4 linked regions of the Tribolium castaneum genome follow. The protein of the gene in region 1 interacts with the protein of each later gene in a pairwise test. Links are inferred from orthologs where the notes say so. Each region holds a gene or a part of one and is shown in the gene's direction. Other genes may lie near its edges.

The links.
Region 2: the proteins of TER94 (region 1) and UBX domain-containing protein 4 interact in binary tests that used the Homo sapiens proteins (3 or more experiments, as listed by UniProt). The link is inferred for Tribolium castaneum from reciprocal best matches to the Homo sapiens genes VCP and UBXN4.
Region 3: the proteins of TER94 (region 1) and protein LZIC interact in binary tests that used the Homo sapiens proteins (3 or more experiments, as listed by UniProt). The link is inferred for Tribolium castaneum from reciprocal best matches to the Homo sapiens genes VCP and LZIC.
Region 4: the proteins of TER94 (region 1) and Faf2 interact in binary tests that used the Homo sapiens proteins (3 or more experiments, as listed by UniProt). The link is inferred for Tribolium castaneum from reciprocal best matches to the Homo sapiens genes VCP and FAF2.

Annotation. Positions count from the first base shown.
Region 1 is NC_087396.1:21,354,059-21,360,455, forward strand, and holds TER94 (transitional endoplasmic reticulum ATPase TER94), read left to right. Parts: upstream 1-1,726; 5' UTR 1,727-2,028; coding exon 2,029-2,045; intron 2,046-2,121; coding exon 2,122-2,481; intron 2,482-3,634; coding exon 3,635-3,827; intron 3,828-3,891; coding exon 3,892-5,010; intron 5,011-5,289; coding exon 5,290-5,473; intron 5,474-5,527; coding exon 5,528-5,814; intron 5,815-5,873; coding exon 5,874-6,125; 3' UTR 6,126-6,226; downstream 6,227-6,397. Other genes in the region: leptin receptor gene-related protein, read right to left, coding at 762-1,059, 1,104-1,144. UniProt on the Homo sapiens protein: Necessary for the fragmentation of Golgi stacks during mitosis and for their reassembly after mitosis. Involved in the formation of the transitional endoplasmic reticulum (tER).
Region 2 is NC_087396.1:24,042,439-24,049,023, forward strand, and holds UBX domain-containing protein 4, read left to right. Parts: upstream 1-2,905; 5' UTR 2,906-2,995; coding exon 2,996-3,077; intron 3,078-3,132; coding exon 3,133-3,267; intron 3,268-3,334; coding exon 3,335-3,684; intron 3,685-3,994; coding exon 3,995-4,674; intron 4,675-4,883; coding exon 4,884-5,019; 3' UTR 5,020-5,097; downstream 5,098-6,585. UniProt on the Homo sapiens protein: Involved in endoplasmic reticulum-associated protein degradation (ERAD). Acts as a platform to recruit both UBQLN1 and VCP to the ER during ERAD.
Region 3 is NC_087398.1:12,806,628-12,812,029, reverse strand, and holds protein LZIC, read left to right. Parts: upstream 1-3,123; 5' UTR 3,124-3,270; coding exon 3,271-3,371; intron 3,372-3,423; coding exon 3,424-3,559; intron 3,560-3,608; coding exon 3,609-3,764; intron 3,765-3,812; coding exon 3,813-3,944; 3' UTR 3,945-4,070; downstream 4,071-5,402. Other genes in the region: eukaryotic translation initiation factor 4 gamma 3, read right to left, coding at 2,537-2,601; zinc finger MYND domain-containing protein 11, read right to left, coding at 4,376-4,498, 4,547-4,714, 4,764-4,881, 4,930-5,074, 5,121-5,402.
Region 4 is NC_087399.1:11,511,135-11,517,895, forward strand, and holds the start of Faf2 (FAS-associated factor 2), read left to right. Parts: upstream 1-2,591; 5' UTR 2,592-2,742; coding exon 2,743-3,136; intron 3,137-3,188; coding exon 3,189-3,372; intron 3,373-6,761. UniProt on the Homo sapiens protein: Plays an important role in endoplasmic reticulum-associated degradation (ERAD) that mediates ubiquitin-dependent degradation of misfolded endoplasmic reticulum proteins.

The DNA of each region.
Region 1 (6,397 bases):
TGTTGCCATCTGTGTGTGGAATATGACATTAGGCGAGTGACGGACAGAGGGCGCACAGCCACCAATTGATTAAATTACAAAAAAATCCCCAGATTTTTGACCCAAAAACACCGCCAAAATTTGGAAAATACATAATTATTACGAAATTGGACCGCAATCCGAAATGGCCCACCTCAAGTTGGTGGTAGATTTAAATATCACTTCTTTTTTCCTCATATTTTTACAAGGAAATGGCCCTTGTGAGTCGAATTGGCGGGACATTCAAATGCTGAAATGTTTGCTTTGCACTCAAAAAAATCAAATTATTCAAAAAACTTAACAGAATCGACCAACACAAGTTCTGATCAAAATCATGAGTATGAAAAGATTCGTCCAAAATTTAGAGTGTTCCATTTAAAAAAACAAGTTTGTACTATAGCTCATTTTTCAAGCACCTTGTATATTTGAAAATAGTTTTAGGTGATGCAGGGGGTTATTATCTAGTGATATCTATGACTTTCGTAAAAAATATTCGTTTATTTAAAGGACAATAAATGGACTACCAACTTGCTGAGACACCCTGCATATGCCTCATTTTGCAATTTTTTTGTCGGTAACATTTTAAACCATTTTATACGAAAACGTGTTTTCGCACTCGTATTATAAGTAACTATAATGAAACAACTTTGTTGGGGAAACCTATCTATTAGCTTTACAAAAGATTAAGCTTACATACATTTAAATAAGTAAAATAGTTATGAGTACATCTTGGGTTTATTACACTACCACATATTATAATCAGAATCGTCTTGATCGAACGTGAGAAAGAACCCGAGAAGGGTGGCAAAGATGACCACGTTCCCGGCCAGTGTCAAGTAACACGCCCCCCACTGGATAACAGCCACCCTGGCCAAGACAATCGGCAGGGCAAAGGCGCTCACAATGAGCCCCATTGTGAGAAAAATCGCCGTCTCGAGACACGAATTACTCGAGCCTTGGTGCTCTGTGTACCTCCGTGCCAGGAGAGTGGGAATGGGGGCCAACACGTAGAACAAAACCACGAAGAAAGGCCACCATAACCTGCAACGGGGGCTCAAATTGAGGCTACAGTAGGGCCAACTCACTTGTATTGAGGGAGGCTGCAGGCCAGGATGACCATCGTCATGCCTATAGAACCCGTAAAGGCCAACGTAACCAATCTGCAAACGCTAATTAACAAGGGGCAACAAGGGGGCTGCCAATACTCACGCTGCTCAATCGCCAGGGCACATGAAAAAGGCGCAATTAGTGAAATATCAAGACTAAAGCATGACTAATAACTGAATTTGGAAATTACTCACTTTTGATCCCGGCCATTGTCACGATCAATATTTTGGTGATTTAATGTTCCAGTGCACACCTAACGATATTTACATCCTATTTTTTTAATTTGTAGCCTTAAATCCAAAATGACACTGACAAGTGAAAAACTATTGTTTTTGTCAAATTGTCAAACAGTTGCGTGTCGTATCAAGAGAGGGCGCGCCCCCATTTTTTGCCCCAAGCCTCAGAATCTAGCTAAATTATCGCGGGTCTTTACTGCTGATTTTTGATGGAAATAACGTGATAAAAGCGGTCCCGCCAAGTGCCAAAACCCTTATCAGCGGTATCAACTGATTAAGTTTCGATCAAGTCAGCAAGTCACATGACCGCGTTGTTCGAAAGTTGGGGCATAGAGGGCGGCGCTAGCCTTGACACTGGTTTTGTCAAATTTGGCCAAATTTGACTGTTTCCGGCGGCGAATCGTGTCAAAAGTGCCAAATCGTGTTGTTTTTTTCGCGTTCGGCGTGTTCCCCTGTGGCGATAGGGCCGACTAGGGCCAGTTTGGCCGTTTCTGGTATTGTAGGTGTCGCTACTCGTTTGGTAAGATGGCCCCTGGCTGTCCTCTGTCAAAATCCTGAATAAGCAAAAGAAAAGCTACGTCATTCAGAACCGATCGTTAGATTGTGCCTGTGTTAAATAGTAAAAGTTTCGGTTTTTTCGTCTAGTGTAAGCTTCGAACGTTGAATAATGGCCGAGGGTAAAAGGTGGGTAGGGCCGGCGTCTGAATTTCGCCCATGTCACCAAGGGGCAGGAAATAGTTAATTTTGGCTAAACTTGCAGTCCTGACGACCTGGCGACTGCGATCTTGCGCCGCAAGGACCGCCCCAACAGACTCCTGGTGGAGGAGGCCACCAACGACGACAACTCCGTCGTGGCGCTATCGCAGGCCAAAATGGACGAGCTGATGCTGTTCCGAGGCGATACAGTGTTGCTGAAAGGGAAGCGGCGGAAAGAGACCGTCTGCATTGTGCTGGCCGACGAAAACTGCCCCGATGAGAAGATCCGGATGAACAGGATCGTCAGGAATAATCTACGGGTTAGGCTCTCTGACGTCGTCTGGATCCAGCCCTGTCCCGACGTCAAATACGGGAAGAGGATCCACGTTTTGCCCATCGATGACACGGTCGAAGGGCTCGTCGGGTGAGTTACCACGAAAAAGCCCCTCTCTGGGGCTAGAAGTAATTAAACAAAAGAAACCGTCCTGTGGCCAATGGGAAAGACGGATCGTTTGCCGGTTACCAATGAGAGAGCGCGCCCACAGCGCGCGGTTTGAATTCCTCCAATTGCTTAGCTGGCATGGAGTCGCTGAACTGTCATGACATGACTGTCACATTATCGCAATTATTTGGGGATCGTTCTTGTAATTTTTGAGTCATACGATTTTATCAAATAATAACACGCATTATTTTTCTACAACTTTCTCGAAAAATTATTAAAATAAATTATACTTGTTTTCCTTATACATCCGGTGATTCCAATGAATGTTGATCGGTACTTCCCACAATTTGATCGCTAGTGACTCATTATTATGACTATCTACTGTGCGACTATTATCGTATTTTTATAGTAATCGGCTTTTGATTACAAAATAACCGAAAAAAGTCAATATTTCTTAAGTCTCCGAACCTACCAAGTTTTTTTTTCATTGAAGATAATACAAATTTTTTTCTCAAGATTTAAGCACATTTTTTTTGTATAATTTTTACAACTTTGTTCCTCACAGTTTTTTGGTACCTATAACAGTAAAAAGAGACAGACTGTAGACATAAATAGAAAACTGGTTCTATTCCTTTTTAAATTCAATTCACTGTTGTATTTTATTTGTTATTTTATTTATTTAAATAGTGACTGAATAAGTAACAATTCAAAATAATTTGCAAGGAAAGCACACAACTTATGTTAATTAGTGACATAATAACAGATTGCCCTTCATTATTTTGTTTTAAATTTATCTTAGCATGTTTTTCTCAATCTTGTGTATTTTGGTATAAAAATTTGTCAAAATTCGGTACAAATCTGACAATTTTTTGCGGCTTAAATTTATTGGTTTTATTTTATTTTTTCGGGCTGCCAACGTTTTTGCGATGTTTATTTCAGGTATTAAAATAAATCGTGTTTGTTAATAAAGAGAATCGTTTTTTTTTCTTTGATGTTTATAAAACTGACGTAACGTCTGTATTGGCAAACAATTGAGCAATGTTTCTTAATTTATTTGTGACGTAGCAACTAAATTAAACAAAAACACGAAACATAGTCACTGTGATTTACAAAAAAAAACTATATTTTTTTGTAGAAATCTCTTCGAGGTGTACTTAAAACCATACTTCCTCGAAGCTTATCGACCAATCCACAAAGGCGACGTTTTCATCGTCCGTGGTGGCATGCGAGCCGTTGAATTCAAAGTGGTGGAAACGGAACCGTCACCATATTGTATCGTCGCCCCCGATACCGTCATCCATTGTGACGGCGATCCGATCAAACGAGAAGTAATAAAAATTAATCCAATTAAGTGAGTGACAATCATATTTTTTTCTATCTTGTTTTTCCCAGGAAGAGGAGGAAGCCTTGAACGCCGTCGGCTACGACGATATCGGCGGTTGTCGCAAACAACTCGCACAAATCAAAGAAATGGTCGAATTACCTCTACGCCACCCGTCGCTCTTCAAGGCCATTGGCGTGAAACCACCACGTGGTATCCTCTTGTACGGACCTCCAGGTACCGGTAAAACTTTAATCGCACGTGCAGTGGCCAACGAAACCGGTGCTTTCTTCTTCTTAATCAACGGTCCCGAAATTATGAGTAAATTAGCCGGCGAATCCGAAAGTAATCTAAGGAAAGCGTTCGAAGAAGCCGATAAAAACTCACCGGCTATTATTTTCATCGATGAATTGGACGCGATTGCACCGAAACGTGAAAAAACCCACGGCGAAGTCGAACGCCGAATTGTCTCGCAATTGTTAACACTGATGGACGGCATGAAGAAAAGCTCGCATGTTATCGTGATGGCGGCCACAAATCGCCCGAACTCAATCGATCCGGCTTTGCGTCGGTTCGGTCGTTTTGACCGCGAGATAGATATTGGCATTCCTGACGCCACCGGACGTCTGGAAGTGTTGCGTATTCACACCAAAAATATGAAGCTTGCCGACGACGTTGATCTTGAGCAAATCGCCGCCGAGACGCACGGTCACGTGGGCGCCGACTTAGCGTCGTTGTGTTCGGAGGCGGCGTTGCAGCAAATCCGCGAAAAAATGGATCTGATTGATTTGGATGACGATCAAGTCGATGCGGAGGTTTTGAATTCGTTGGCTGTTAGTATGGAGAATTTCCGTTATGCTATGACCAAGTCGAGTCCGAGTGCGTTGAGGGAGACCGTGGTCGAAGTGCCGAATATTACGTGGGACGATATCGGTGGATTGCAGAATGTTAAGAAGGAATTGCAGGAATTGGTGCAGTATCCGGTTGAGCATCCTGATAAGTTCTTGAAGTTTGGCATGCAACCGTCACGTGGTGTGTTGTTTTATGGACCACCTGGTTGCGGGAAGACTTTGTTGGCGAAGGCTATAGCGAATGAATGTCAAGCGAATTTTATTTCGGTCAAGGGGCCGGAGTTGTTGACGATGTGGTTTGGGGAGTCGGAGGCCAACGTTAGGGACATTTTCGATAAGGTTTGTTGTTTCTCTTGAAATTTGAATACGAAGTGTAATTAAAATCGCACTGAATTTAAGTAAAATTGAAAAAAAATGGGATTAAAAAAATAAAAAGATTATTATGGCGTTCATTGTGTAATGTGTAACAAAATCTTGCCAACGCGTGAACAAAAATGACGTTATTTACGGCATTAAAATATTTTCTCCTCTGAAACATAATGTAATTTTTTTTTATTGCCAAGTCATGCAGACAGAGGAATTTAATAATATTTTCCGAATGTGTGTTTGGCTTTCTAGGCTCGATCGGCCGCCCCTTGCGTCCTCTTCTTCGACGAGTTGGATTCGATAGCAAAATCACGTGGAGGCAACCTGGGGGATGCCGGAGGCGCCGCCGACCGTGTCATTAATCAAATTTTGACGGAAATGGACGGAATGGGCGCAAAGAAGAACGTTTTTATTATCGGAGCCACAAACAGACCTGGTGATTAACCCGCCAATTTTATCGATTTTTTTCTATTATTTTTTTAATTTTTAGATATCATTGATCCTGCAATCTTGCGTCCCGGCCGTCTCGATCAATTGATTTATATCCCGCTGCCGGATGAAAAGTCTCGCGAAGCGATTTTCAAAGCAAATCTGCGTAAATCCCCCGTTGCAAAAGACGTGGATCTTACTTACATAGCTAAAGTGACTCACGGATTCTCAGGTGCCGATTTGACGGAAATCTGTCAAAGGGCGTGTAAATTAGCGATTCGCCAAAGCATCGAAACCGAGATTCGGCGGGAGCGCGAGAGGGCCATGAACCCGAACAGCGCAATGGATGTGAGTAGTTTTTTCTTGCAATAAAACACAAATTTAATGAGAATGTGAAATTGTTTCAGTTGGATGAGGATGATCCGGTTCCGGAGATAACTCGCGCCCATTTCGAGGAGGCGATGAGATTTGCCCGAAGATCGGTGTCGGATAATGACATCAGGAAGTATGAAATGTTCGCGCAGACGCTGCAACAGTCGCGTGGTTTTGGCACTAACTTCCGGTTCCCGTCGGGAACGGGAGGCTCGGCTGCGCCAGGAGGGACAGGAGGCGATCAGGGCAACTTCCAAGATGATCCTGAAGACGATTTATACAGTTAAATATTCAGGCTCAATGTGCACTCTTTTTTTATTTGTATTGTCATTTTGAGTTCATTTGTGAAATAGTTTTGAATTATTATAATAAAAAAGGATTCTGTAATGACGAGAGTTTTTTTGGGTTGAAATAAAGATTTTGGTGGGTTACGAAGACGTTTTCTGATGATATCCTTGAAGTGTTTAGATCAAAAGATCGCCAGTTTATTTTAAAAATCGGGCTGCCATCTGTGACTATTCCTAATGCAAATAATTTAACTTTGAAGAGCTATATCTCG
Region 2 (6,585 bases), about 2.7 Mb from region 1:
ACTTCTCAACCTTTTATTTTAAAAAATGTAATTGTTTTTTGCTTATATTTTTTGTGTTTAGTTGTCATATTAAATGCTCAAAATTTTTTAAAATAAAAATGCAAAATTTTAATTAAAAATTATTTTAATATTTGTAATTTTATTAATACTATTAATATTTTTAATTAATTGAAATTAATTAAAAAGAGAAACAGTTATTAGAAAATGCTAATCTTTGTGCAATTCAGTGAAATCTTCCTTAACGGACATCTCCGAATAACGGACACTCTTCACAACGGGCATTTTTGTAGGAACGTAATAAAACCGATACCATAATTTCCATCTCCCATTAGCGGACACCTCTCCACAACGGACAATTAAAAGTTCCTCGTCGGTGTCCGTTGTTGAGAGGTTTTACTGTATTGATTTTTTTTGGTTAGTTTTTAGTGCCTTTATCTTCTATCGTTTAATTTTTTTCATTTTTTTTACTTCAATATTTTATTTATTTCTGAATCAGCTGAAGCTTTATTAAAAAAAATAAAAAGTTTGCAGTTTTACTACAAAAATTGTGAAACATTAAGTAGTAAACCCGACCCCACCCCCAATTTTCATCAGTCGATAACACCGAAAACACGTGCACCAAATTTATATTTCATGAGGTAACTGAATTTAATGCTTGTAAAAGCTCCAAATTTTCACCCTGATTGGCATTTCGGTCAAGTGCACTCCAACCAGCAGCTCTCGAACCGAACTGTCGATTCATCCCTTAAAAATCAGATCCACTCAACTTTCAACAAAAAAAGGAGCTCAGCAAATTTTTCGCAAACCATCGGAAAATTAATAACCCAGTAAAAAGCCCTCGTAAATTTGCAAAATTTACGATGATAGCTTCCGGTGTGAAAATGAAGCGATTAATTTTAAATAGTTTTCCAAGTCCGAACGTGTGGGGTGACTACGCGTAAAATTACGCCCCGTATTGATCTGCAGACCCAAGGGTGTCTCTGTCTACTGCGAACATCCCTTGTAACCACGACTACGTCACCAAAATTTGATAAGAAATCTAACTAGGAATTCAAACCCGGAAGATGGTTTTTCACGAAGCTGTCCGTTGTTGGAAAAATTTTCTATTGTAATTTTGCATGCACTAAATTAGCTAAAGTCTCCACTTACTTGGGGTGTAGCAGTGTCTAGAAAAAGTGATTGTTGTTTTACGTTGGCAAATTTTGTAAATTCTTCGAGTGGTGTTCCAGCACAAGTAAAACCCACATTAGGCCAAGCAAAACAGCTTATTTCGGATGATTTGGACGCTCACCGTCGTCGCGGCGCCACCGTCGAGTTAGGCGCCGCTCGAATGTGCAGTAAACGTCGTCAATAATAATCCACAGCGATATTAAATCAGCCTTAATGGACGCCACTGGGCGATTTAAACAAAAATTGGACCATTTCCTGCCTAACTTTAAGTCAACATTTACACGTTATGATTATTGTGTAGGTAAAACATTGTTGAAATAAAATAAAATTTTTATAAACAGAGTTGCTTGGAAATAACATTATTTTATTATTATTATTATTATTATTATTATTATTAAATTAATGTGAAATTTTTTACAATTTTGTTGCAACTAATTGAAAAAAATTACTGAAACAGTGTTAGCTGCGAGACAGTACATTTAATGTATTCTTAATTAATTATAGTACAGTGTGCTATGTTTTGTGTTGCATTATTTTGTTTTTGTAATTACGGTCTGCATATTTATACCTACACAGAAGAAATACGCTCTATAATTTTTATGTGAAGGGTTGGATTGTATTGTGAATGAAGCGGCACATTGAGTTTGAATTCCATAGTCGACTTGATGAACAACCATTTTTGAACACATTGTATATTAAATATTACAAATTATCTGGCCAGGATAGTTGTTTAATAGCACTTTTTAATTTGTTTTTTTTTCATTTTTAATTAACTTTAATGTAATTCCTACCACGAAGATTTTTTTGGCAAATTGTGCGAGTCTAAGCTGGAACATTGAAACATCTTGTTTTAAATTTTTATTGAACCTGTTATTGCATATAAAAAACTATAGTTTTCCTAGTTAATAAGTCATTTGTGACTCTATCGCTATTCAGTTAAATAATAATATCCCATATTTATTTGCTGCAATCTTGATTGCAATCTGTAATGGCCAGTATAAAAGTGCTAATTTTACCAACTTGAATATTTAAAAGCTACGGACGGGCTGTTCCGCTTATTTATTGTAAACCGCGATGAAACAAATTTATTGTTTAATAACCGTCGTCGTTCTAATCCCGGTAAGAAAATCGTTGTTTCGTTATTAATCTTAGTTAAAATTTATTGTTTTAGACACTCACTGCTCTTGAAAATGAAGGGCAAAATCCTGATACAGCAAATTGTGTTGCGCTAGGTGGACAAAGAATCAAAGATTCTGAAATAGCAAAAATGGCTCATTGCATTCTCACCAAAACGAATTTAATGACAGACAAAGGCACTTTTAATAGTAATCTTTTAAAGGAAAGGCTTAGACAATCTGTGCACAGTGACGAATTAGTGGATAAAGTCGTCATGATGTGCACCGTTGAGAAGGAAACACCACTGAAGAGTGCATTTTCGGGATACAAATGTCTGCGGTACCTTGTACCATGGTTTCCGTTAGACTAATAAAGAACAGTTTTCAATACCCGACCCAAAATAAAGTTTTAAGAGCATTTTGCCTGTTTATTTGCTATTTCGGCCACTTTAGAGGTGGTTTCAAAAATTTACGTTTTTCAAAATGACTAAAACTGGACTTTTTCCGTTATAGCACTGAACACCCCATAGATGTTTAGCTAATTAGCGCCACATTTTCTGTCCAAATCTGTTCGTAAAATTTAACTTTGGCGCGTTGCTTGTGACACCTAGCATATTCTATGCACCTAGCGCCACATGACAGTTGTCAATGTAACACGTCAGTTGTCACAAACACTCATTTTTTATTAAAAAAAAATAGTTTTAATCGAAATGAACTGGTTTAAAGGTGAAATCGCCCAAGCAATCGTCACTTCGAAAGCCAAACAGGCAATATTCGTAGTTTACGTTTACGGTAAGAAACGCAAACGTTATCTAACCTCTCCATGTCGTTTTTCGCCCGTTTTTAGGCAAAGACGATAAGTCAGCGCAAATAACCGAATTAATCGACAAGGAGGAAATCGTTAAAATATTAGGAAGCGATAGCTTTGTGGCAATCAAGATCGAAGCCGACTCTGTACCTTATCAGCAGTTTAGTCAAATTTGTATCCTTTTTTTGTAGTATCCAAGTTTTGTTGATACTTTTAATTGATTTGTCCCTAACTCAGTCAGATAAGCAAGTTCCAACCCCTTCGGTTTATTTTATTGGGAAGCAAGGAGTGCCTATTGAGATTGTGACTGAAGTAAATGATGTTAAAACTTTTCAAGAAAAACTCAACTCGATTCTGCAAAAAGGCGGACTTTCTCCGATTGCTTCACAATCACAAGATTTTATCACCAAAGAACAGGCGCAAAATGTTGTGTGCGAAAACGACGTTTGCACCATGAAAAAAGACGAAACGCCTTCAACCAGTCAGCAAGCTGTGGCAGGAAAAGAGGATTTAACAGTTGAAGAAAAGGTTGAAAGGGCCAAGCAGTTGGTTGAACTGAAGCGAGAAGAGAAAAGAAAGGAGGAGTTTGAGGTAATGTGTGGCTGAATTTAAGTTGGCAACATTTCATAAAACAAACGATGTTTTCATAACTCAGCTACGAAAACAACAATATTTTGGTTCTGTCTCATGTAAAATGATCCGGAGAATCGATTGGTGTCAAGAAAATCGCCAAATTCCCAGTAGTTTTTAAGTTATGAATTTTTCAAAATTTGACCAATTTTTGCTTTTATTTGCAATTTTCTCGAAAACTATTGATTGGTCTTAATTTGTCAAAATTGAAGTCCATTTGACACTTGTAACTTCAAAATCCTCAGTGAAATAATGGCGTAACATCTTGCAGAAAGAGCGCGAGAAGGAGCTTGAGCGTCGTAAAATGGGCCAAAACGTGCAACAGTTGAAACGTTGGCAGGAGGACCAAGAGCTGAAGCAAGTCCTTGAAGAACGTGAAAGAGAAAAGCGCGAAAGTCAGGCGGCTCGTGAACGAGTCTTGGCTCAAATCGCTCAAGACAAGGCTGAAAGAGCGGCAAAATTCTCTCCAACAGCCACAGTTCAACCACAAGCTCACTCATCGCAATCGCAGTCATCTCCAAGACCTGTCAACACAAACACAGCCAGATTGCAATTCCGAATGCCAGATGGCAGCACGGCAACGAACGATTTTTCGAGCAGTGACACGCTAGCAAGTGTCCATGCTCACATTAAAGCTAATTTGCATCTACCGTTTAGCAATTACACACTTTCCACAACTTTCCCTCGAAGAGAATTTACTGAAGCTGAGAATAGTCAAACGTTGTTGCAACTGGGGCTTGTTCCAACTGCTGTTATTTTGATCTTGCCGGTTAATAGGGGAGTCGTTGCTACTAACACAGAAGGAGGGTTTACAGGATTTTTGTGGACTTTGATTACCCCGATTTTGACTCTTTTGGGTTATTTGAAGACTTTTGTGTTTGGATCGGCTCCTGCGCCATCTACTAGCAACGATAATAAGCGAGCCGCTGAAGCGTCATCTAGTGATCACAGGTTTGTTATTCTTCTTAAGATTTATAACTGAAGTTAACAATTTTTACTATTCTTCAAGTTACTCATCAAGAAGGCTGTGGATGTCATACGTCAAAAAAACATGGCTTGCTGCCATTTTTTTTACTTATGTTATCCTGAGTTATATTTTTATTGCAATCTTAATCTAGGGCCTAAAAAAATCTGCCTGTACTATTGAGGAATTGTTTTAGGGGGCAACCAAAAGTTCGAAGGGGTGGCGAAACAACAGTGATTAGAAGGCAGGGGAATATTCATCGTTTGTCCAATAAAAACGATAGTGATGATGAGAATAATACCTGGAACGGTAATTCTACCCAGCAGATGTAAATTATCTTATTACTTACTTGGAATATTTTTCACTAGTTATGTACTTCTTGATGTAAATAAAATACTTAGAATTTTTTATTGCTTGTTTTATTTTCTCATAACACATTAACAATATTTTACATAAGTGTACTCGTACCTATTCAGGAGGCAAAGATTTTCCTTTTGCCAACAGAGTAACTCCTAAGAAACTGTTTCATAAACTCCTGGTATTACTCTGTCTTTAAATGTTCCACACCACCTTTAAAAAAATGAGAAAAATGCAACCGAAAAAACCTCCCCGCAGTCTGCACATGTCGTGTGTATTGTTGGTTGCAGCCCTAGCGCCAGTTTCTAGCAGTGAATAAATTAATTTACTTCGCAATTAAATGCTCAGATTTTTTTACATTGGGTTACGCTAATCATTGTCCAGTTAAGACTTAAATTAAATTACCATCAAGCGAATGATAAAAACTGGATAACGATTCTAGTTATAGTTTCGTTTAAAGAGAAGCTTAATTAATTTTTTTAATAAAAATTATTTTGAGTCTAAAATTTTTGAGTGTGTGAAAAAAATAATTATATTAATTTTTACCAATTTTTTAAAAATTTTGAAGGACAATAAGTGACAAAACTCATAAACTACAAGTCGCACGGATTTTTTTTAAACCGCCAAATTTTTTGATTGGCTTTGATTAGGTATAGTTTTTGAATTTATAAAATAAAAATATCATAACTCGACAACTACTCGACCTAAATAAAAACGGTTTTGCAAGCAAATTCTTTGGGTAATTTTGGGTAAGACCTCGGGTAAGACATTTTTGCAGCCTTTTTCAAGGATAAAATCATATTTTGAACGGTTTTTCGACCTAACATTGTTAACATCCTAAGAAAAACTTACACAGCGCGAACTTCTTATTTATCGATTTGTTGATTTTTTAATTTAAATAATAATAATTAGTAATTAGTTGTTACGAATGTGATGAATTGGCGTAGGTAAGTTAGCCGTTTTGCATAATTCTAGCATCTCTCGGCATTTTTGGCAATTCCTGTGAATTAATTCTCTTAATATAGGCTTGGTAAATTGGTACACATAGTGGCTGTTAACTAATGCGAATCCCAGAAGAGTCGTTCCGAAGTGGTTCGAGACTGATTACCGGTAACCACAACGTTAATTACCACTATAACGCTAGAACACCGATCTGAATGCAGACTAGTACATTAGGAGCACTAACTTGCGCACTCCCAGGCCCGACCTTTGCATAAATAATGTCCTAAGTGGAATGAATCAATAAAAGAAAAGTGATTGCAAGTTAAAATGGGGAAATTAATAGGCCAAGTTTTTCGTGGATCGTGACGACGCAACGTCAAGCCTGGAGCGAACGAGATATAATTTCCGAGGACACGCTTGCAACTCGAGAGTCGTTAGTTTTAACGATGTCGCTAATGAAACAATCCAAGAAGGCAATTATGAGAGATGACACATTTAACTCCAAGTGTTTCCCTCTACACTCATATCTTCGCGAAAATGGACCCAGTGCATCCATCTCGTCGGCAATTTGAAGGAGATGAATGCGGACGCTTTAACTA
Region 3 (5,402 bases), on another chromosome or scaffold:
AAGTCGTTTCTTATTACCGCAAGAACAAATTACCGAGTTATGATAATTTAATAATCTAGTATTATTGATCAAAGCGGTTGACTTACATTTTGAGTGTTTTAACGAAATTTAATTAAAATGTTTTACATCCTGTAAAAATAAAAAAAAACAAACAATACTTATGCAAATGGGAAATTCATATTTGCACCAATTTTTTATGATTTCATCTTTTTAATGTCGTGTCTTTTTCTATTATACAAGCGACGGCTCCTTAAACATTGCGCCACCAAACATTTTTGTTGATTTTAGAGCAACATGTTTTAGCATTACGGAAATAAGTTAAAAAAAAACAAACCCACACAGTTTATCAAAGGTTGAAGTAAATAATTTAATATAAAGGGTGAAAACTCGCTAATGAAAGTGGGAAGAGCAGTGATTAAAAATGAATCAATCTCGTTAGAATAACGCGAATTGGGGTTAAGTTTAAGTTCTCGTAAGTTGTGGGGGCATTATTGATTTTGTCTTAGCCGCGAGAACGAGGCATGTCGGGCAATAAAACACGTGCATCATCGTCAATTGTCAATGTCACTGGTTTATCTTAGGGCAAAAAACTTACGTTGCGGTGGCATCATCCTGTAATGCGTGGGTGGTAGCAAGCATATGCCCTCTTTGACAGGACCATTGGTCACGTACCGCGACACCATCTTGTCGAAAAATTCCAAAATAAAAAAATCACAAACGCCGCATTCACGCGACAAATAACTCGAGTTGGGCAAAATAACGCATCAAAAACCCACGCAAGTCACTCCCCTCACACGATAATAACCCATCAATACAGGCTTTTGTCCAGCATCAAACTTCTTCGACATAATAATGTCGTGTGACTCACTACCACCACAACCACTTTTCCAACCACCGACTTACGAGAAGAAAACGCACAGTCATTGGTACGACGAAACTGCATTGGGGTGAGTTTCTGAACACGTTCGGTGATTTTCAAAACAACAACAAGAAAACCCGAAGAGGAGCTGGGACATGCGAAGCACGTCTCCCTGCACCAAACACCAAAAATCGATAAGGGCGTTTTACCAAACACCACGCAAACCAATCATCACATGGTACGGTGCTGGTAACTTGTCGCGTTACGTTTCGTTGTTAAATAAACGGAAAAATCGGCGATTTTTTTCGATTGCGAACACGAGGTTTCTGTCTTTAGCATAAACTTGATTGTCAGTCAAAAAATTATGACTTCGGCGACACCGCCATTGTATCGACTGTGCGACTTGCAGTGTTGCCAGCGCAAAAAAATTACTACACCAGATCCGCGCCGAAAAACTACCAGATTTGTTCCTGGTAAGGACACAAGCATTACTTTTTGAACAAACTAATTAATCTTTTAAAAAATTTCCTAATTTTTCAGCTTATTTCCGATAAAGTTTAGATCCAAACCGGGATAATAAATCAAACGAAACATGCATCGATTTATTTTTGTGACTTTTTGCAAGGTCTCTAATTTAAGAACAAATTAGTGACTGAAACTGACTAAAAAATACCATTTCCCTCCAATTTGGTGCTTTTTTGCATCCTAGTAACAAATAGTAAATTTTCGGGTTACTTTTAACGAAAATTTTGAAAATAATTGCGGTTTTAGCTAACCAATGTTAGCTATGTCATATTTAGCCCAAAGTAATGCTTTTTTGGGACGCTTGAAACTTAAAAATATAAACATTACATTTTCTACTTATTTATTAAAGAAGTTAAAGACTTTCCACTCGGATTAGTAAAGTCTCGAGAGGAAATGCTCAAAAAAACACCCTCTTATCTTATCGGTTCCGCAATACTTCTGAACGTCCCATGCTAAAAGGTAATCCAGAATAAATTAATAGATTAAAATTTTCCGTTGCCAAAAATCACAGAATTTCACAAGATTGGCATCAAAGTCACCAAATCTGGTGAAAGATCACCAGACCTGGCAACATTGGGGACTTGGTTCCTGGTTCCGCCGCCAGGAACAATGGGAACGCATGCGCAACCACAACTCCGGATCAACCATCAACCATCGCATTCAACTGGTCATTTTTAAAAAAATTCGGGGAAAACCCAGCAAAAAAACATTTGGTAAAAAGGCACTCGAAACCGAACCAGGAGGTGTCGGTAATGAACTAGGGCGAAGTCACACCTGACCTTACCTGCGTTTATCGTGCGTGGCAATATGACACACAATTATGTAATTAAATCAGGGAAAGAGCAGCGAATTCGCTTGACATCCAATGCCACCACTTCACTTTTCACATAGTGATGCAACAAGCTGGAGCCCCGTCACGCGAGTTCGAAATTGAAACAAATCGCGAATTGTAATTATTGGGCGTGATTTGTGTGGAACACCATATGGATTGGTAATGACTGCGGTTGGTGGCCTGCATAGACAGGTGAATGTGAACTAATGAAAGTTTACCAGCCTGGCGTTCACATTCTACTCAAAACAATGCAGCGCCAGCAACAATTAAGACAGGGGGGATGACAGTCGGGTGACAGATGGGCGTAACTCAAAGGATACAGTGTGGTGGAGTAGGCCTGGTTTTGGGGCCCCCTCCCGGCTGTCTGCTTCTGGTTGCCGCTCATGTCAGCCCTGGGGCGCCGCGTCCCTCACAGAGGCCGCCGCGTATCCGTTCTCAGCGACTGCATATGTTCAGAACTGACAGCACAACACACATTTCCGGCCAGTTCACAAGCTTCGCAACATCGTCGCACCCAAAGACCGAAATTCGATGTTGATGATGCTGGATTTTTCGAAATCGTCACTTAGATAACACTACCACTATTACTAATCAAAGGTTAAGATATGTTTCAAGATGGCGGACTTTTAACCCAAAAACATGATTGTTTTCTTTAGTTTCGTGACGCACTCCGGGCCGTGCTTGCACTATTCGGACAACAGCCTCCACACTCCCGAACTTAATGCGAACTCGAATTTAACCAATGTCACTTCTTCAAATTTAAATTAAACTTACAACTTTATTAAAACTGACACGCGGCTTTCACGTTGCTAGAAAAGCACACCTAGCGCACCCAACGGAAAATTACACAACTAAAACAATTTTTCCTTAGCAAAGACGCACGCCCGGCGTCCCTCTCTCACTTAACCCCCACCAACAACAAAAACACCAAACACGCCGTACGTCGAAAGTTAACCCAACCGCTCACTTGAAAAAATAACGGGCATTGTCCAGAAATTGATCTAACCTACAAAAAAATGCAAATTTCCAGTAATTGAGTTGCAAATCAACCAAAATGACCTCCTATGGAAAAGTCGAAACCGCGAAACTGAAACAAAATTTGGAAAATCAACTGGACAGACTAGTCGAACAACTGGGAGATTTAGAAAATTGCAAGTTAGTCGTCACCGCGTTTCAATGCTCCCGAATGATGAAACTGCATTTTTAGAGCGGATTTAGACCCGGAGGAATATGAGGAGACTAAACAGGACACGATGGATCAGTTAAAGGAATTAAACGATAGCTTATCGAAACTAGTCAAAGGCGATATCTCACTTGTTAGTGCCCTCGGAGCCGTACAACTTGTAAAAACAGTTCTTTATTTTTTCAAAAAATCAAATACGATTTTTCAAGGCCACACAAGCTGCCATATCAGAAGCGTTTAAAACGCCAGAGGTTATCAGACTTTTTGGCAAAAGAGAACCAAAGCAGTTGAGAGAACGATTATCCAGTATTGAGCAAGAGTGTAAACTTAATAAATTGAGTGATGAAGCTACTAACAGACAAAAGGTCATTTACCTAGCAATTTCAGACGTGATTACTTATTCATTTTTCTAGGCTGAAATATTAACTGCATTGAGACAACTGGGGGAACAGTTATCAATGGAAGAGCTGCAGTTTTTGGAGAAACACAATAATATTGCCAATGCTTTCCAAAACGTTGAGTTTGTGGAAGTGACTGATGAATGAAAAACGCACCAAGAAATAAGGGCTTTATTTGTACATGCATATAATTTAACAAAGCTGCAGATAAAAGAACAGGTCGTTTGCCATTTATTGTATCTTCCGTTGCAAATACATAAAATTTATAAGCAATACTATTTTAAACCATAAAATAAGAACAAACAATGAAGTAGTGGCATAACTTTCAATTGTGATACAACGTTTAAAAATGATTTGGAAGTTTCAACAACACTATGTGATAAACTCTTACAACTCAAGTTATTGCCTACAATTAAAAAGTTAACTAGAATTGTACTTTCGTAACTTGGTCCTAAAAAGTACCAAAACAATGAAAATTACGCCAATGTTCCCATTACTCTACATAATGATATTAGAGGATAAACAAACTATAAAAATAGATAATACACAAAATAACATTTTTTAATTTTTGTATGAAACTAGCGCTTACGCCTGCAAACTTTTTTATGTTCTGCTTGCCAGTGCTGTTGTTGACAACTTTGGGAACAATACGCCGTGTTCCAGCAACAATGATAAATGGCTTCCTGTTCGCAATTATAGCACTGGAAATGAATGAATTACAACCGCTCATTTTGGCCAATCTTTCTTACCCATTGCTTTTTCTTAATCTCCGATATCTGCGCATTGTGGGACTCAAACAACCTTTTCAAATGATCATTGTGATTATTTGTAATTTGATCAATCTCACTTTGCATACAGTCCATTGCACACTTTATAAGCTCTTTTTTATCACTCACACATTCAAGTCTTCTTCTCATCTACAAACCAACCGTGAGCAAGTTACTGTAACGTCGCTTATTAGCAAACCTTTTCAACTGAATCACTATAAGGGTGATCAAGTTGCTGCATCCCATTTTCCTGGCTTCTGTCCTGGAATCTGTAATTTTCAGTGGAACTTGAAACTTGCTCATATGAACCATTATAGCTAACAATAAAAAAATTAAACTCGGAAACACCTGACACACATATTTACTTTGTATTAGAAACCGATGAATAATCGTAATAGGGATACTCATCGTCTTCGCCGTCTGATATGTGTATAACGCTATCGGAAGTATTGTGAACTTCCTCGTTTTTCTCCACGGAACTAGTTGAATTTTTTTTCGACACGGGACTTCCTAATTAATCAAATAAGACGCAAGTAACACAAGACAACGAAATTACCTTCACAAAAACTGCTTTTACGTTTATGCGTTAGGCTTAAATTTTGCTGACCGAATGGATTATCCTCAAACTTGTAAACATCATTCATTTCAAATGAATTTCTCTTTTTCACTTCCAGTGAACTATTAAGCGACTTCTTCAACGTCGAAATTCGCTGCTTATTTAAACTCCTGACCCTGTTTTTCGACGAACTGATCAACTTCTGGAGCTCGTCAGGGTTCTGCATCAAGCGCTGATGGAACCTTAACTCCTCCACCGCCTTGTTAAACGCCGAAGACGTCT
Region 4 (6,761 bases), on another chromosome or scaffold:
CTTATTCGTGGACTTAAAAAAAATAACAGCTAATGTAATTTATATTTTCAATGAGATCTAAGTATTAATAACTATTTTATAATTTCATTAAAAAAAATAATTTGGTAAAATGCGACGTTGGCGTTTTTATAGTTTTGAATCAGCTAGACCCACATTACACTTGGAAGTGCACGCAAAAGAAAGGAAACTGATATTCATAATTTCTAGTATTCTGTATTGATCAGTGGTCTCCTAAATTTTTCAGTAACAGTATTTCTGGACATCTCCGTAGTCTCCTTTACTGTCTTTTGCAACACCATATTTTGAAAATAATTGTGACCAAAGTTACACTTCCCTTGCAAGGTTCGCTTTAATTCAGTTAATTTTCGATTCCACGGTATTATAATTATGTAATATGTTGTAGATTCATGTTTAAATTCTTTTCTAAATTTTTCTTGAAAATTATGTTGTATTAGCTGTTTCAAGTTTAAAAACGGCAACGTCTCATTTTTTCTCAAAATTAGCTGTTATAAATTATTCATGCCCTTCAAAAAATAACGGCTAATATAATTTACACATTTTCAATTAAAGGTTAGTCAGTCATTAATAACTATTTTAAAATTGTATCAATCTTGTTTAAAAAAAAATTTAGTAAAATGCGACGATGGCGTTTTTAATCAGGAACAAAAAGACGTTTGAAAAATATAAGTAGAGTCATGAAAATGACAGAACGTCCACGGTGGTGGGAGTGCGCAGAGATGAAAACTTGTCGCGGATGAGTCCATGGAGCAATGGTGTGGTGTGTATTTTCGTGTATCAAGAATTCATCGTAATTTTTAACGATTCAATATCATTAATGGTAAAGGTAACATAAGAAATCTTTTTTGTACGTTTTTACTCATTCACATTGTGTTTTTGTTATTTATTGGACATCTCTGCTTTATGTTTATATGAAATTAACAACTAACGTGTAGGAATCAGATGTGTGATGTCTTATTATCTCATATTGCTATTATTAAATACAGGAAATAATAAATAATAAAAAGTTTAAAACTCAAACCCCTTTTTCCTATAGGATAGTTTTTTGATACGCCACTGCTCATTCTCCCCACTCGACCAAGTACGCATTGGCTCCGCCTAGCGTAGACGTTCTTTTTGTAAAAAAGTGCCTGAAAAATGTCCTTAAAAACGTCTACTTTTGATTCACTTTCATAAAAACCATTGTAGTGGAATTAACTAACCTGTTACCACGACAACTCATATAAAACTTAATGCTAAGAGTACCCAATTTCCATCATAATGATTTTTATGAAAGTGAACCGAATGTAGTTCTTCTAGTTTTCATTTGAAAAATTAAAAACAAAATTTACAAGTTTGTGGTTTTTCTGAATAATTCAGAAACTAAAAATGACGCATAAAATTTTCCTTCCGATAATTGTTCAGCATAAAAATGCGCAACCGACCACGTATCTCTTATAATAATTGAGATACCCTGGTGGAGTTTGAAAAATAGACAGCCTGTATGTACAAAATTTGACATTCTACAAAGTAGACTGGTAATTCTCAAAATGGATTTTCTCCAGTAGGTGCTTATAGTATTCTTATAATTATAATAATTATTGTTTATTTGGTCTGATGATTCATGTAAAAGAATACTTTAAATAATGTTTTTCTACATATGCACAGGGTGATATAGTCTGGTCTTTAACAAAATTGTGACACTGACAGTTGATTATATAAAAAAAAAATTAACTATATTTAACTATTCTTTACTTGATCAATGAAATTTGAATTCATCGAAATCACCATATCAGGTTGCAATTGGCTAACATTGAGCCGCGTTGATAGGCGTGCACGCAGAGAAAATTAGGAATTAAAAATTCAAAACTAAAATTATAGAACAATTGGAGCAAAACTAATATTTAATTTTTAGTGTTAAATAATATTAATTTGCATATAGTTTAATTTGAATCCCATAATGTATTAGCTGTTTAAAAACTATAAAAACGCCAACGTCGCATCTTACCAAATAATTTTTTTAAATAAGATTGATAAAATTATAAAATACTTATTATCTTATTAATGATTAGATCTCTTATTGAAACTATAAACTACATTATTTTTTTGAAGTGCGTGAATAATTTACAACAGCTATTAGCTGTCTCAAAATTCTTTCAAAATTAGCTGCTATAAATTATTCATGCACATAATAATAGGAAATGTATTAACACTTTCAATGAGAGATCTAATCATTAATACATAACTGTTTTGAAATTTTGTCAAGCTTATTTAAAAAAAGAATTTGGTAAAATGCGACGTTGGCGTTTTTATAGATTTGAAACAACTAATATTTTTTGAGAAAAAATGCGACGTTGGTGTTTTTATACTTTTGAAACAGTTATTAGGCAACCAGCAATACTCATGTCATTAAAACCGTCAATATAATTAACTAGTCGAATTACCTGAAATATGGGGTGTTTTACGTTGGTAAAAGGGGATTTGGGACAATTGGGAAGATTCAAAATTTAATAAATTCGAAAAACACTCGCGCAGTGCTGCCAACGCTCACCGGTAGCGCCGAGACTCCCCCAATTTTCTGTGGAAACTTTCAAGACAAAGTGACGTTTCGAAAATAAGTGTAATGCTCAATAAGTGTATCAATTCACGCATTTGTAATTTATGCAGTGTGACACCGCACCGTATCTAAAAATTCCACGTTTTTATGTGCACATGTGATTATCCCGGCCGCGCTGTGTTTTCACAATGAATTACCTCGGAGACAACGCTGGTTTGGGGCTCACGAGCGAGCAAACCGAGAAAGTATTACAGCTGCAAGACCTCACCGGCATCGACGACATGACGATATGCCGCGACGTGCTGCAGAGGCACCAGTGGAACCTGGAGGTGGCCGTCCAGGAGCAGCTCAATATCAGAGAGGGCAGACCTTCGATTTACGCCACGGAGAGCAGACCGCCGGCGGTTGTGAGCGACCTTTTGGGGCAACACATTTACTATTCGATGCCTCGGGATGGGGGCGGTGGCGGCATTCTGGGTTTTGCCAAAGCTATGTTTAATTTTTTCTACAATATTTGCTATAGTACCATTTTGGCCCTGTTTCAATTGGGGAGGAGGATGATTCGGTTCGAGCCCGAAAGGCGTAAGGGAGGGTTTATTGAGGTGTTTTTTGGCGTAATTGGGGGTTGTTTTAGCGACTAATCCGCTAGATGATGTTGTTGGGTTTATTAATCTTTACCAGGAGAAGTATGGAGATTGCCATCCAGTTTTTTACCAGGGAACTTTCACGCATGCCCTTAATGATGCTAAACGAGAGTTACGGTTCCTTTTAGTTTATTTGCATAAAGAAGACCACAACGATGCTGACTTGTTTTGCAGGTAACTTACGCCAATTAAATTTATAGTTACACTGGACTTGTTTTTTGAAATCAAGTTGGCAACATTGCATAACAGATGCAAGTATTTAAATAAATGTACATACATACAATCAAAGTCACTGTTACCATTTGTTAAACTAAATACAATTTTTTTTTGGAGGCGTTTTTCTTGAAAAAAGTGAATCAAGTACATTGATCCTCTATTATAGTGTTGCCAACTTAATTTTAAGTCTCCTACTCTTCGATCAGAAATCTAATTGTTTAAAATATATTTTTTCTACTTTGGTTCACAAAATATTCATAGTTTCACAAAGAGAACTTTTGTGCAACTCCTTTTAGTAAGTTTTTAGGAGTTGTATTGGCAGTGCTGAGCTGGATGTCATCAGTCATCACTGTAATTTAGTGTGTGATTTGTCAACAGCATCAAGTCGTTTATTGATAAAGCCTGAATAATTGACAAAATTAAGAGGAAATAGTTTGGACAGATTTTTGATAAGTTAAACTAAACACAAACACAAAAATAGAAAGCAGAAAAAATAGTATATTACACTCGTTAAGACTTAATTGTGGCACTTATTCTATTGGAGCAGTCTTTCGTCGTGCTCTAAAACATTTCGTGCTTATAGACTTATAAAACTTTTTTTGTGTAATTTATACTATACTTATACTATTTTTCTGTAATTTATATTGCATCTTTTCAAGAATTTAAATTGGTATTATGTTAAAATTTATACAAGGTGAGTGTGTTAGTAGTTTTTTGCATTTGTGTGGTAATTTACTCAGTTGACGCTTCATTTGGCAAAATAATTGTGTCGTGTAAAATGGTAAACACGCAAAATTTGCATTTAACGTTATCAAATTAAAAAGTAGATTTTTTATTTGACAAGGTATAGTGATGGTTATTATCACTCGATGGCGCCGTTCCAGTCAGAATTAAAAACTAAGAAACTAGTAATTTTATAGCGCCATTTTTTTACGTATTTTTTGTGTATTTTTTACAATAATAAAATTTCATTTAATTAATATTTAAATTAATTAATGTAGTTAGGTATTTTGGTTCTGAATACTTCTGTTAGGAATTAAATATTTTTCATAAAAATTAAAACGATTTATTATAACGTAAAATGAAACTAAGGATCTTTTTTTTGAGGGTCAGGTGTAAAGCATCATACAATAACAAGTTTAATAAATGCCTTACGAAATTTTGGCTTTGAATGTTTTACCACATTAAATAAACAGTTAAGTAAAGGATACATTAATACAGGGTGGTGGATAGTCAGATTTTTTCCAAGCAACTTAATTTTGATGTATTGTTTAATTTGTTTTCCTTAGCAACGGTATCAATTTGTTGTTTTTGTTTCCCATAAGACATTAATTGTTGATCTAACTAAAGTCAAAAAATATGATCTGAACCACCAAAAACATAACTTAAAAATTTTACTTTGAAGAGCTATATCTTGTGAAAAAAGGCTTAAACAATTTTTTGTCATAGGAACTTTTAATTCAGTTTGATGTTCTTTATCAGCACCCGAGAGATTTTCCGGTACTTTTGAATCACCCTGTATAATGACAATGGCTTGAGATAATGAAAAATACACGAGAAACAACTGTAAGGAATTGTAGAAAAAGTCTGCCAACATTCACATGCATTATTTACATACTTTTAGGGGACTCACCTTGTATATTATGGTTAGTTTACAGAACCTTTAATTGTGATCAAATTTGTCCTTAAATTGACGCTCACTGCAAAGTAAACTTTATGTGAATTAGATTAATCTTGGATTAAGTTTTTATTCGATTTCTATAATCCGACCCTTATTAGAGTTAAACTCAAATTAGTTCTGACTTTTATTAGACGTTATACCTTTATTTTCAATAGTTTAAAGACAGTTTAAGGTGCTCTAATTTGTAGTGACGAAAAGGTGGGTGCGTCTTTAAATATGTGATGTTAATTGTGTCTCATTACATTTTTGTGTATCTTTAGTCATGTTATCAAAAAATGTTCAACATTTTAGGTGAAGCCAAGCGAAAGTGAAGTCATTGTATTTTAGTTCAATTTTTATATTAGGTATTATGTAGCAGTTCGCAGCTTCAGTTTTAGCAACGATTTTAAACAGCATAAACATTCCCTATTTTAGCCATGGTGTCTTCAAATGCAATTTGTGTTGATGTAACCAATGAGAAACTCTTTACTGGAATATAAATCTTGTGTTAAATTTTTTACACGAAACAGATATTTACTACATTCAAATGCTTTTAAGATATTTGACAGCAAAATTTTCTATTGACGCAAATAGTGTTTTATTTGTTTATTGTTTTAAAATTAATTGTTTTTGGAACAAGACGGAAATTATTTTTTCCGTTAATGCATAACAAATACATATTTATCATCTGCCTAGCCTTCCTTATTTGCTACAACAAGCGTCTAAAAAAGAATTACATCGTAGTGTGTCTTATTACGATGTAACTTTTTTTGCACTGTTTCAAAGCTATAAAAATGCCATCGTCGCATTTTAACAAATAATTTTTTTCAGTAAGGTTGACAAAAATGTAAAATAGTTATTCTTATTAATGATTAGATCTCTCATTGAAAATATAAATTACATTAGCTATAGTGGCGGTCAGCTCGATTTGCGTGTGCGTCATCAATTTCATTTTTTCATTACCAACACAAAGCTATAAAAAAATTATCAAAAACAATGCAAATTTAAACAGCTAAGAGCTATCTAAGGGTGGTATCCTTGAACATTAATTTACATGTGCACTTCGACAACACCGTCAAAGTGTCACGAATTTGTCAACCTGACATTGACAGTAAATTATAGTCGTTGTCGCATGGTTGTCCGAAAAGTGTTATCGGTGTTAATCGCAAGTATTTTCCGTTCGTTTATTGTGTTTTGTGATTTGCGTTTCGTTAGGTTTTTGATTCTGCGTTTATTAGTTCTTGTTTTGTGAATCTGTATTTTTTGTAACAACTCATAATTTAAACACTTCGTAACCTCAAAAAATATTTGATAGTTTGTCACCGCTATGACCCTGCTATGTAAACGTAGTGACAGAAATGTCAGATGACGCACACGCAAATGGAGCTGAGCGCTACCATATTACTTTTTTTACGTCCATGAATAATTTCTAATAGCTAATTTTGAGAGAAAATGCAACGTTGGCGTTTTTATAGTTGTGAAACAGCTAATATTGCTTACAAAGTGCTCATGTGGGAAATTGTATTTTCCAAACACGTTAGGTAAATAATTAATTAGACGTTTGTTAGATATGTATTGCACATTTTACTAGTTTGTCGTGAAATAGTTTGATACATTTTTGCAAAAACAGTTACGTTTACCAAATAAAATAAAGCAACAGCAACTTCAAATACATCAAAAATTTCCA